2 linked regions of the Xenopus tropicalis genome follow. The protein of the gene in region 1 interacts with the protein of each later gene in a biochemical or structural test. Links are inferred from orthologs where the notes say so. Each region holds a gene or a part of one and is shown on either strand. Other genes may lie near its edges. The genes, in order: limk2 and rock1.

Region 1 (3,819 bases):
CCCCTTGCCTCTATGGAACGAAAAGAGGGAGATTTCGGGGGAGCATTATCCACTGGTAAGTTAGGTGGGGGATTGTGTTCTATTAGAAGCTGTAAGGTCCGGTCTGTTGAGCAAAGCAAATCATCAGCCTAGAATGGTTAAAGGAAGGGAAAAAGCTGTAAGTTAAGGGAATTTCACCAGTCCTGTAAAACCAACAAAGGGTAATTTTCTTTTCGATTTTTACTATTTTTGACCCTTTACAGAAGCAGACTTTTTGATCTAACCTCCTTTGAGCTCAGTGTGGTGACGGGGGATCCATTAATTTCCAGAATGCGGTCTCCCTGGTGCAGTAAATTCAAATTTTCTGTGCTGACCCTTCCAGGAAATAAAACACAGTTAGTCTGGAATATGTCTTTTAACTTGAAGTCTCTGGGATACAAGATGACTTTAATGGCTCCCAGTCTCCCAAATGGCTTGTCAGAATTATTTGTATAGCATCCTTTTAAAGGGATATTGACACTTTCACATTTATAAAGAATGTCACTATTCCTTTAATAACCCAACACTAATCTTACTTTTTATTTGTGCCACCTGCCTTTCCGCTGACCAAAAAAGTCCTCTCAGAATCCTATTATGAATTTACCTCACCTTCCAAGACCAATATTATCTCCTGTAACAATGGGAGCATCATCTAAAGCTGGCCATACACGTGGCGATCTGACGATGTTTCGTGCGACCATCGGCCGCACGAAACATCGTCAGATCCGCCACCATCCGTCAGGGCTGAAACAGCAGATAAGGAGGTAGAAACAATAGGATTTCTACCTCCTTCTGCCGATTCAGCCCTGACGGCTAATTTTGGTCAGGCGCCTTCTATGGCGCCCGATCAAAATTTTCTAACCTGGCGATCGGCGAGTCGACCCGCCGACATGCCATACACGCACCGAATATCGTACGAAACGAGGTTTCGTACGATAGTATCGGTGCGCGTATGGCCAGCTTAAGGGGTTGTTCACCTTTTAGTATGATGTAGAGCAGTGATCCCCAACCAGTGGCTCCTGAGCAACATGTTGCTCAACAACCCCTTGGATGTTGCTCTCAGTGCCCCCAAACCAAGTAGTTATTTTGGAATTCCTGACTTGGGGGCAAGTTTTGGTTGAATAAAAACAAGATTTACTACCAAATAAAGCCCCCTGTAAGCTGATAGTGTGCATAGAGGCTACCTAATAGCCAATCTTAGCCCTTATTTGGCACCTCCATGAACCTTTATGGTGCTTGTGTTGCTCTCCAAGTCTTTTTACATTTGACTGTGGCTCACGAGTAAGAAAGGTATGGGACCCCTGATGTAGAGAGTACTATTCTGAGATAGTTTGCAATTGGTCTACACTTTTTATTATTTGCAGTTTTTTAATTATTTCAATTTTTTGTTTAGCAGCTCTGCAGTTTGCAGTTTTTGCAGCTGGAGGCTAGGGTCCAAATTAACTTGGACCAGGAACCAGGAAGTGGTTTGAATGAGAGACTGGTATATGAATAGGAGAGGACCTGAATACAAAAATAAGTTATGAAAAGTAACAATAAAACTGTAGCCTAGTATATACATATATACAGTTCAAATGGTAGGCACTCACGATAATTAAGTCATCCGATGCCTGGGTGCAGTCCTTCAAAATCTAAGGGTAGATAAATGCACAAACGGGCCACTTCGCTCAGGACTTATGAAAAAATAAATAGAATTAATTAAAGTACAACATGACTGATGTTTCGGGTGTGTCAACAGCCTTTCTCAAAGTTTTCATAAGTCCTGAGCGAAGCTGCCTGTTTGTGCATATATATATATATATATATATATATATATATATATATATATATATGAATATATATGAACAAAAGGAGCACACCCTATCAAGGTTCAAATGCCCAGGGTGCTAGGGAAAAACATATAGAGCAAGACAGTGAGCTGCACACACTAGGACTTGAAAAAATAGAAAATTTATTTAAGCAAAGAAATCCAACGTTTCGAGCACTAACTGTGCTTTTTCCCTGAGGAAAAAAAAAAATATTTATATATATATATATATATATATGTCAGGTTCCTGTGCTGTACAAAAATGAGACAAAGATAAATCATTTCAGAACTTTTTCCACCTTTAATGTGACCTATAAACTGTACCATTCAATTGAAATCTTTTCGGTGGAAGAAAACCAAAAAAAATTAAAATAATGTGGTTGCATAAGTGTGCACACCCTTAAACTAATACTTTGTTGAAGCACCTTTTGATTTTATTACAGCACTCAGTCTTTTTGGGTCTGAGTCTATCAGCATGGCACATTTTGACTTTGCAAGATTTGCCCACTCTTCTTTGCAGAAACACTCCAAATCTGTCAGATTGCGAGGGCATCTCCTGTGCACAGCCCTCTTCAGATCACCCCACAGATTTTCAATCGGATTCAGGTCTGGGCCATTCCAAAACTTTAATCGTCTTCCAGTGAAGCCATTCCTTTGTTGATTTGGATGTATGCTTTGGGTCATTGTCATGCTGAAAGATGAAGTTCCTCCTCATGCTCAGCTTTCTAGCACACGCCTGAAGGTTTTGTGCCAATATTGACAGGTATTTGGAACTGTTCATAATTCCCTCTATCTTAATTAAGGCCCCAGTTCCAGCTGAAGAAAAACAGCCCCAAAGCATGCTGCTGCCACCGCCATGCTTCACTGTGGGTATGGTGTTCTTTTGGTGATGTTTTTTGGAATTATGGCCAAAAAGTTCAACCTTGGTTTCATCAGACCATAACACCTTTTCCCACATGCTTTTGGGAGACTTCAGATGTGTTTTTGGAAAATGTAGCCTGGCTTGGATGTTTTTCTTTGTAAGAAAAGGCTTTCGTCTTGCCACGCTACCCCATAGCCCAGACATATGAAGAATATGGGAGATTGTTGTCACATGTACCACACAGCCAGTACTTGCCAGATATTCCTGCAGCTCCTTTAATGTTGCTGTAGGCCTCTTGGTAGCTTCCCTGATGAGTTTTCTTCTCGTCTTTTCATCAATTTTGGAGGGACGTCCAGTTCTTGGTAATGTCACTGTTGTGCCATATTTCACCACTTGATGACTGTCTTCACTGTGTTCCATGTTATATCTAATGCCTTGGAAATTCTTTTGTACCCTTCTCCTGACTGATATCTTTTAACAATGAGATCCCTCTGATGCTTTGGAAGCTCTCTGGGGACCATGGCTTTTGCTGTGGGATGCAACTAAAAAAATATCAGGAAAGACCAACTGGAGCAGCTGAACTTTATTTGGGGTTAATCAGAGGCACTTTAAATGATGGCAGGTGTATGCTGATTCCTATTTAACATGATTTTGAATGTGATTGCTTAATTCTGAACACAGCTACATCCCCAGTTAGAAGAGGGTGTGCACACTTATGCAACCACATTTTTTAGTTGTTTTGGTTTTCTTCCCTCCACCTAAAAGATTTCAGTTTGTTTTTCAATTGAGTGGTACAGTTTATAGGTCACATTAAAGGTGGAAAAAGTTTTTTATATCCACTGTGAATTTGACATCTGCCCGCTCCAGCGTTTATAGATTACATTTTTGCTAACTAACGGTATTGAAAACATTTTTCATTTTGCGCAGTCTATCTATTTTACCCAGTTTAATTTCTACATTGATCTTTTCCTTTAATAGAATATATATAATTGGTTGTAGGAAGCTTATTTGAGATGAATACTGTACCTCATGTATATATAACCCAACATATATGCTTAGTGTTAGTAGTAAAGGGGTCCAAAACAACAAAGTTTAAAGATTTATACTCACTGTGTGACCTGCATGTTCTCTC
Region 2 (4,591 bases), on another chromosome or scaffold:
CAACTAATAGTTGTCCTATGGACAGATTCCCCCACCTGAGCTGTAGATCTCTGTAGCTCGTCCAGAGTCACCATGGGCCTCTTGGCTGCATTTCTGATCAGCGCTCTCCTTGTTCGGCCTGTGAGTTTAGGTGGACGGCCTTGTCTTGGTAGGTTTACACTTGTGCCATACTCCTTCCATTTCTGAATGATCGCTTGAACAGTGCTCCGTGGGATGTTCAAGGCTTTGGAAATCTTTTTGTAGCCTAAGCCTGCTTTAAATTTCTCAATAACTTTATCCCTGACCTGTCTGGTGTGTTCTTTGGACTTCATGGTGTTGTTGCTCCCAATATTCTCTTAAACACCCTCTGAGGCCATCACAGAGCAGCTGTATTTGTACTGACATTAGATTACACACAGGGGCACTCTATTTAGTCATTAGCACTCATCAGGCAATGTCTATGGGCAACTGACTGCACTCAGACCAAAGGGGGCTGAATAATTACGCACACCCCACTTTGCAGTTATTTATTTGTAAAAAATGTTTGGAATCATGTATGATTTTCATTCCACTTCTCATGTGTACACCACTTTGTATTGGTCTTTCACGTGGAATTCCAATAAAATTGATTCATGTTTGTGGCTGTAATGTGACAAAATGTGGAAAAGTTAAAGGGGGCCAAATACTTTTGCAAGCCACTGTACATCTACAATATTTCCTTTTCTAAGTAAATGCCACTTTAAATGGTAAGATGTGTTGCCCGCAGCTAAATCTGGCAAAAAAAATCTCTCCAGAATGCTTTCCTCTCAGCGATATAGTGAATTGCTGGTGGAAAAATATATCTGTATATGTTTTGCCACCGGTGATTCACTTTATTGCCAGCGTAGGCCCAACCATATGTTTTGTACCCTTACTGAAGCTGATAAGTAACAATAAAATTAAAAACGATAACATCCACAATGTTGAAATGTTACATCAGCGCTGGGAACGATTGTGAAAATTCTGATTTAATATAATCAATCTTAAACTCTGCTGCCAGGATCCTCCTGCTCTCTCCTAAGAGGGATCCTGCTCAGCCTCAATTAAGCTCACTAGCATGGCTGCCTGTCAAACAAAGGATAGCTTACAAAATCCTTCTGCTGACATTCAAAGCCCTTCACTCCTCTGCTCCTCACTACATTTCTTCACTGGTCTCCCTACATGTTCCTGGTCGTCTCCTCCGCTCCTCTCAGAGCCTCCGTCTTTTTACACCATCCACACCCACTGCGCTCTCCCGTCTTAAACCTTTCTATCTCGCTGCTCCTTACCTCTGGAACTCTATCCCTGAATCCCTCCGTAGGGAAAACTCACCCACTCTCTTTAAGAAAAAACTCAGCTGTTACCTTCTGGAGCACTAAAACATTATTTTGCCCAGTCCTGCGCTTAAGGGCAAATGCCCATACCTGATGCACTCTTACCTTCCAATGTGTGCCTGTATGTTACCCAACCACTCAGATTGTAAGCTCTACAGGGCAGGGACCTCCTTCCTACTGTGTCTCATACCACATGGCACTTATATAAATATATATGTATTTATTATATCACTCGTCCTCCCTGTGTGTAATTTTGTATTCTGTAAGACTGTACAGCGCTGCGTACCCTTGTGGCGCTTTATAAATAAAGTTTTACATACGCTTCATTTATTAGGTGACTTAACATAGTTTATATTATCTGTTGGTTAAGTATTTGGGGGTATAGTTTTCCTTTAATTGGGCTGCTGAGGGGTTTTGGCCATCTATGTACAAATGTACTTGAAATGTCAGGGCCTATTCTGAAGCCCAGTTCAGACCTGCTCTTCTACCACTTTTCCCATTTTTTCTAGCAAAGTTTCCCTTTTGTTCTAGGCTTTCCCTATTTTATTCGGATTTCCTCCCATACGGCGGATTAGTTGCTGCTAAGAAAGCAGGGCAAGCCTCATGTAATGAAAGGTTGCAGCTACCGGCTCATTCCCTTTTCACGCTGCCGCCCAACTCTGTGACACTCCTTTCTTCCCGCCCGTCACGCTTCCGTTCCAGCAGCCAGGCCCAGGTGGCTGAAACATTACCACCTTTTCCTGCCGAATTGAGCGTTCATTGAAAACTTGTGAGCTACTGCACGCAGCAGATTGAAGCCGTGTGGCGACTCTATAGAGAAACGTGCGTTCCGAATTAGTCGCTCGCACAAGTGTTCCAGTCAGCGCAATACTGATTTCTAATGTAGAAGATCCGAGCGGCGGTTATATGTTTTTGCTCTTAGTTGGTTAGTATGGTAGTGACCGGCACTTTTCTTCCTGACTCTGCTTCCGAGATTTCGTCGGCTCCGCCTTTCTGCCTCCCCCGCAGCTACTCCTAAGTTTTGGCGCCTGCGCAAAGCAGCGCAGCTTCCTTCCAACCGCCAGTGTCTGTTTGAACAGGAAGGCGGACATGTTTGTAGAGATTCTGTGAGCCAGGGCGATCGGTGCCGCAACGCTGTACAGTAAAGGAAATACCAAGATTTCTTTCAGGCCCTGTACAACGTGAGGCGGGGGAAAGAGCGTGGCAAGAGCTGGTGGCAGTGCAGGCCTAAGGAGACATGATGAGGCGGCGGGGAGGCCAGTGAGAAGGAGAAGAAGGAGGGGGCACAGATCACACTAGGGGGTGCTGCTTGCGGGTGACAGGGCTCTCTGAATTAAGGCCGGAGCTGTCACGGAGCGCTATTTCAGCTGTCACCTGCTTTGCGTTCTTCTCGCAGCTCTCGGGGTGTGACTATCCCCGGGGCGGGGAGGGGTTGGCCCAGGCCTGTGTTTATGTGTCCGGAGGCCCTAGGAGAGGATGCCGGGGCCCATCACACCACACAGCCGGGCCATGAAGCGGGGGTGAGGGACGCACGGACATTAATCTCAGTAATAGGAGGGAGGATCGGGGAGAGATACGCACATAGATACATATACGGGCGCACCCACATATAGTGCCCCCCTGGCACAGCCCATTCTCACCATGTCTACAGGGGACAACTTCGAGTCCCGCTGCGGGAGGATTGATGGCATCTTACGAGATCCCAAGTCTGAGGTTAACACCGACTGTCTGCTGGTGAGTGTCTTCAGCCCAATAAGTTCAGCTTGTGCCAGTGCTACTGAACTACAACTCGGAATGAGGGACGGGTTAGGGTAGGATAGAGAGGGCATTTATTACTAGGCATTAGCAGTGTCCCAGCTGCAGCCCTTGTTAAACTCCCACTCCCAGTTCAGAAGCAAGCTAAAGGTCTACGGGTCATTCACATTCCCCCACAAAGAAATTCCATTAGCAGGCCTTGCCATTTCTTCCTCTGTGGCGTCTGGGAGTTGTAGTACAACAGCAACTGAGAAGCAGTCAATGGAATTTACTGTTTGTATTATATGGCAACCACAATGGAGCAATAAGCAGTGTTTGTGTGTTGGTTATCCAGGACCAGGTTGTGTAAGTCTGTTGGACTGCTAGAACTGGTGTATGGCCATGTGTAGCTTCACAAGCTGTAAATGTAACCGGGTTGGATCCCATTTTGCCTTTTCCATTAAGTTGCACATGAATTTTTGCAGATGCTGTCAGCTGGTTTATTCTTGCAAGGATTTCATTGTTAATCATGGTTTCGTTGTTAATCAGGGGAGAGAAGGTATTTGGACCTGCCTACTTGTACTGGGGATATCTGTCCCATAAGGCTTATGATGTGGGGCATCTTTAATTTAGCATAGAAGAACCAGACACTAGAGGACAAATTTCTGACCAAAATCTGCCTGTCATCTCTAGCCATCTCTATCTGTAGGAATCTCTAAGGCCTAATACATTTGGGGTATTTTGTATGCCCTGTATTCCACTGGAAAACAGTGGCTAAATGCCCTGCTCCACCTGTCACTGCTTGGGAAGTTTGTTTACTATTAAGCGCTCTCAGCTGATGCGCACGGTGCTATGGGGACTAGTAATGTGTGGTTCAAAAAACTTTGATCCATGTGAACAGTGTTCCCCATCAAGCCTGCCATAATGATTTATATACCTGCATCCAACCTGCTCTGACATCACTGGGGGTGGATCTGAGCATGTAAATAACAGTGGCAATCAGTTTCTCAGGAGTGGGGTTGGGACAGGGCAGGAAAGAAGCTGGGCCACCAGTGATCCCCAACCAGTGGCTCGGGAGCATCATGTTGCTCACCACCCTCTTGCCCATTTTTACATTTCTGGCTTGGAGGCAAGTTTGGAAGCACAGAGCCTCCACATGGGGCTACAAAATAGCCAATCACAGTCCTCATTTGACATCCCCAAATAACTTTTTTCACGCTTGTGTGACTCACTAACACTTTTTACATCTGAGTGTGGCTCACGAGTAATAAAGGTTGGAGATCCCTGGTTTAAACTCTCCTTTTCCATGGTTTTAGGGGCAACTCGTTTATCATTAATATTAACCTCTGTGCACATACAATAACTTGATTTTTTTTTTTGTAAAGTGGTCTGCTAGCCTGAGCAAAATTACATGCAGTGACAGACTAAGGCGTTTAGTCCACCACTGCTAGATATCAGTGGCTTTCCAACTGCCCCATGTTCCGTTAGCCCTAAGGGCTGTGGCACATGGGGAGATTAGTCACGGG

The links.
Region 2: of the proteins of limk2 (region 1) and rock1, one has a biochemical effect on the other in vitro, tested with the Homo sapiens proteins (2 studies listed by BioGRID). The link is inferred for Xenopus tropicalis from reciprocal best matches to the Homo sapiens genes LIMK2 and ROCK1.

Annotation. Positions count from the first base shown.
Region 1 is NC_030677.2:152,021,807-152,025,625, reverse strand, and holds part of limk2 (LIM domain kinase 2), read right to left. Parts: coding exon 3,798-3,819; intron 355-3,797; coding exon 264-354; intron 129-263; coding exon 1-128. UniProt on the Homo sapiens protein: Serine/threonine-protein kinase that plays an essential role in the regulation of actin filament dynamics. Acts downstream of several Rho family GTPase signal transduction pathways.
Region 2 is NC_030682.2:108,395,000-108,399,590, reverse strand, and holds the start of rock1 (rho-associated protein kinase 1), read left to right. Parts: upstream 1-1,674; 5' UTR 1,675-2,972; coding exon 2,973-3,065; intron 3,066-4,591. UniProt on the Homo sapiens protein: Protein kinase which is a key regulator of the actin cytoskeleton and cell polarity.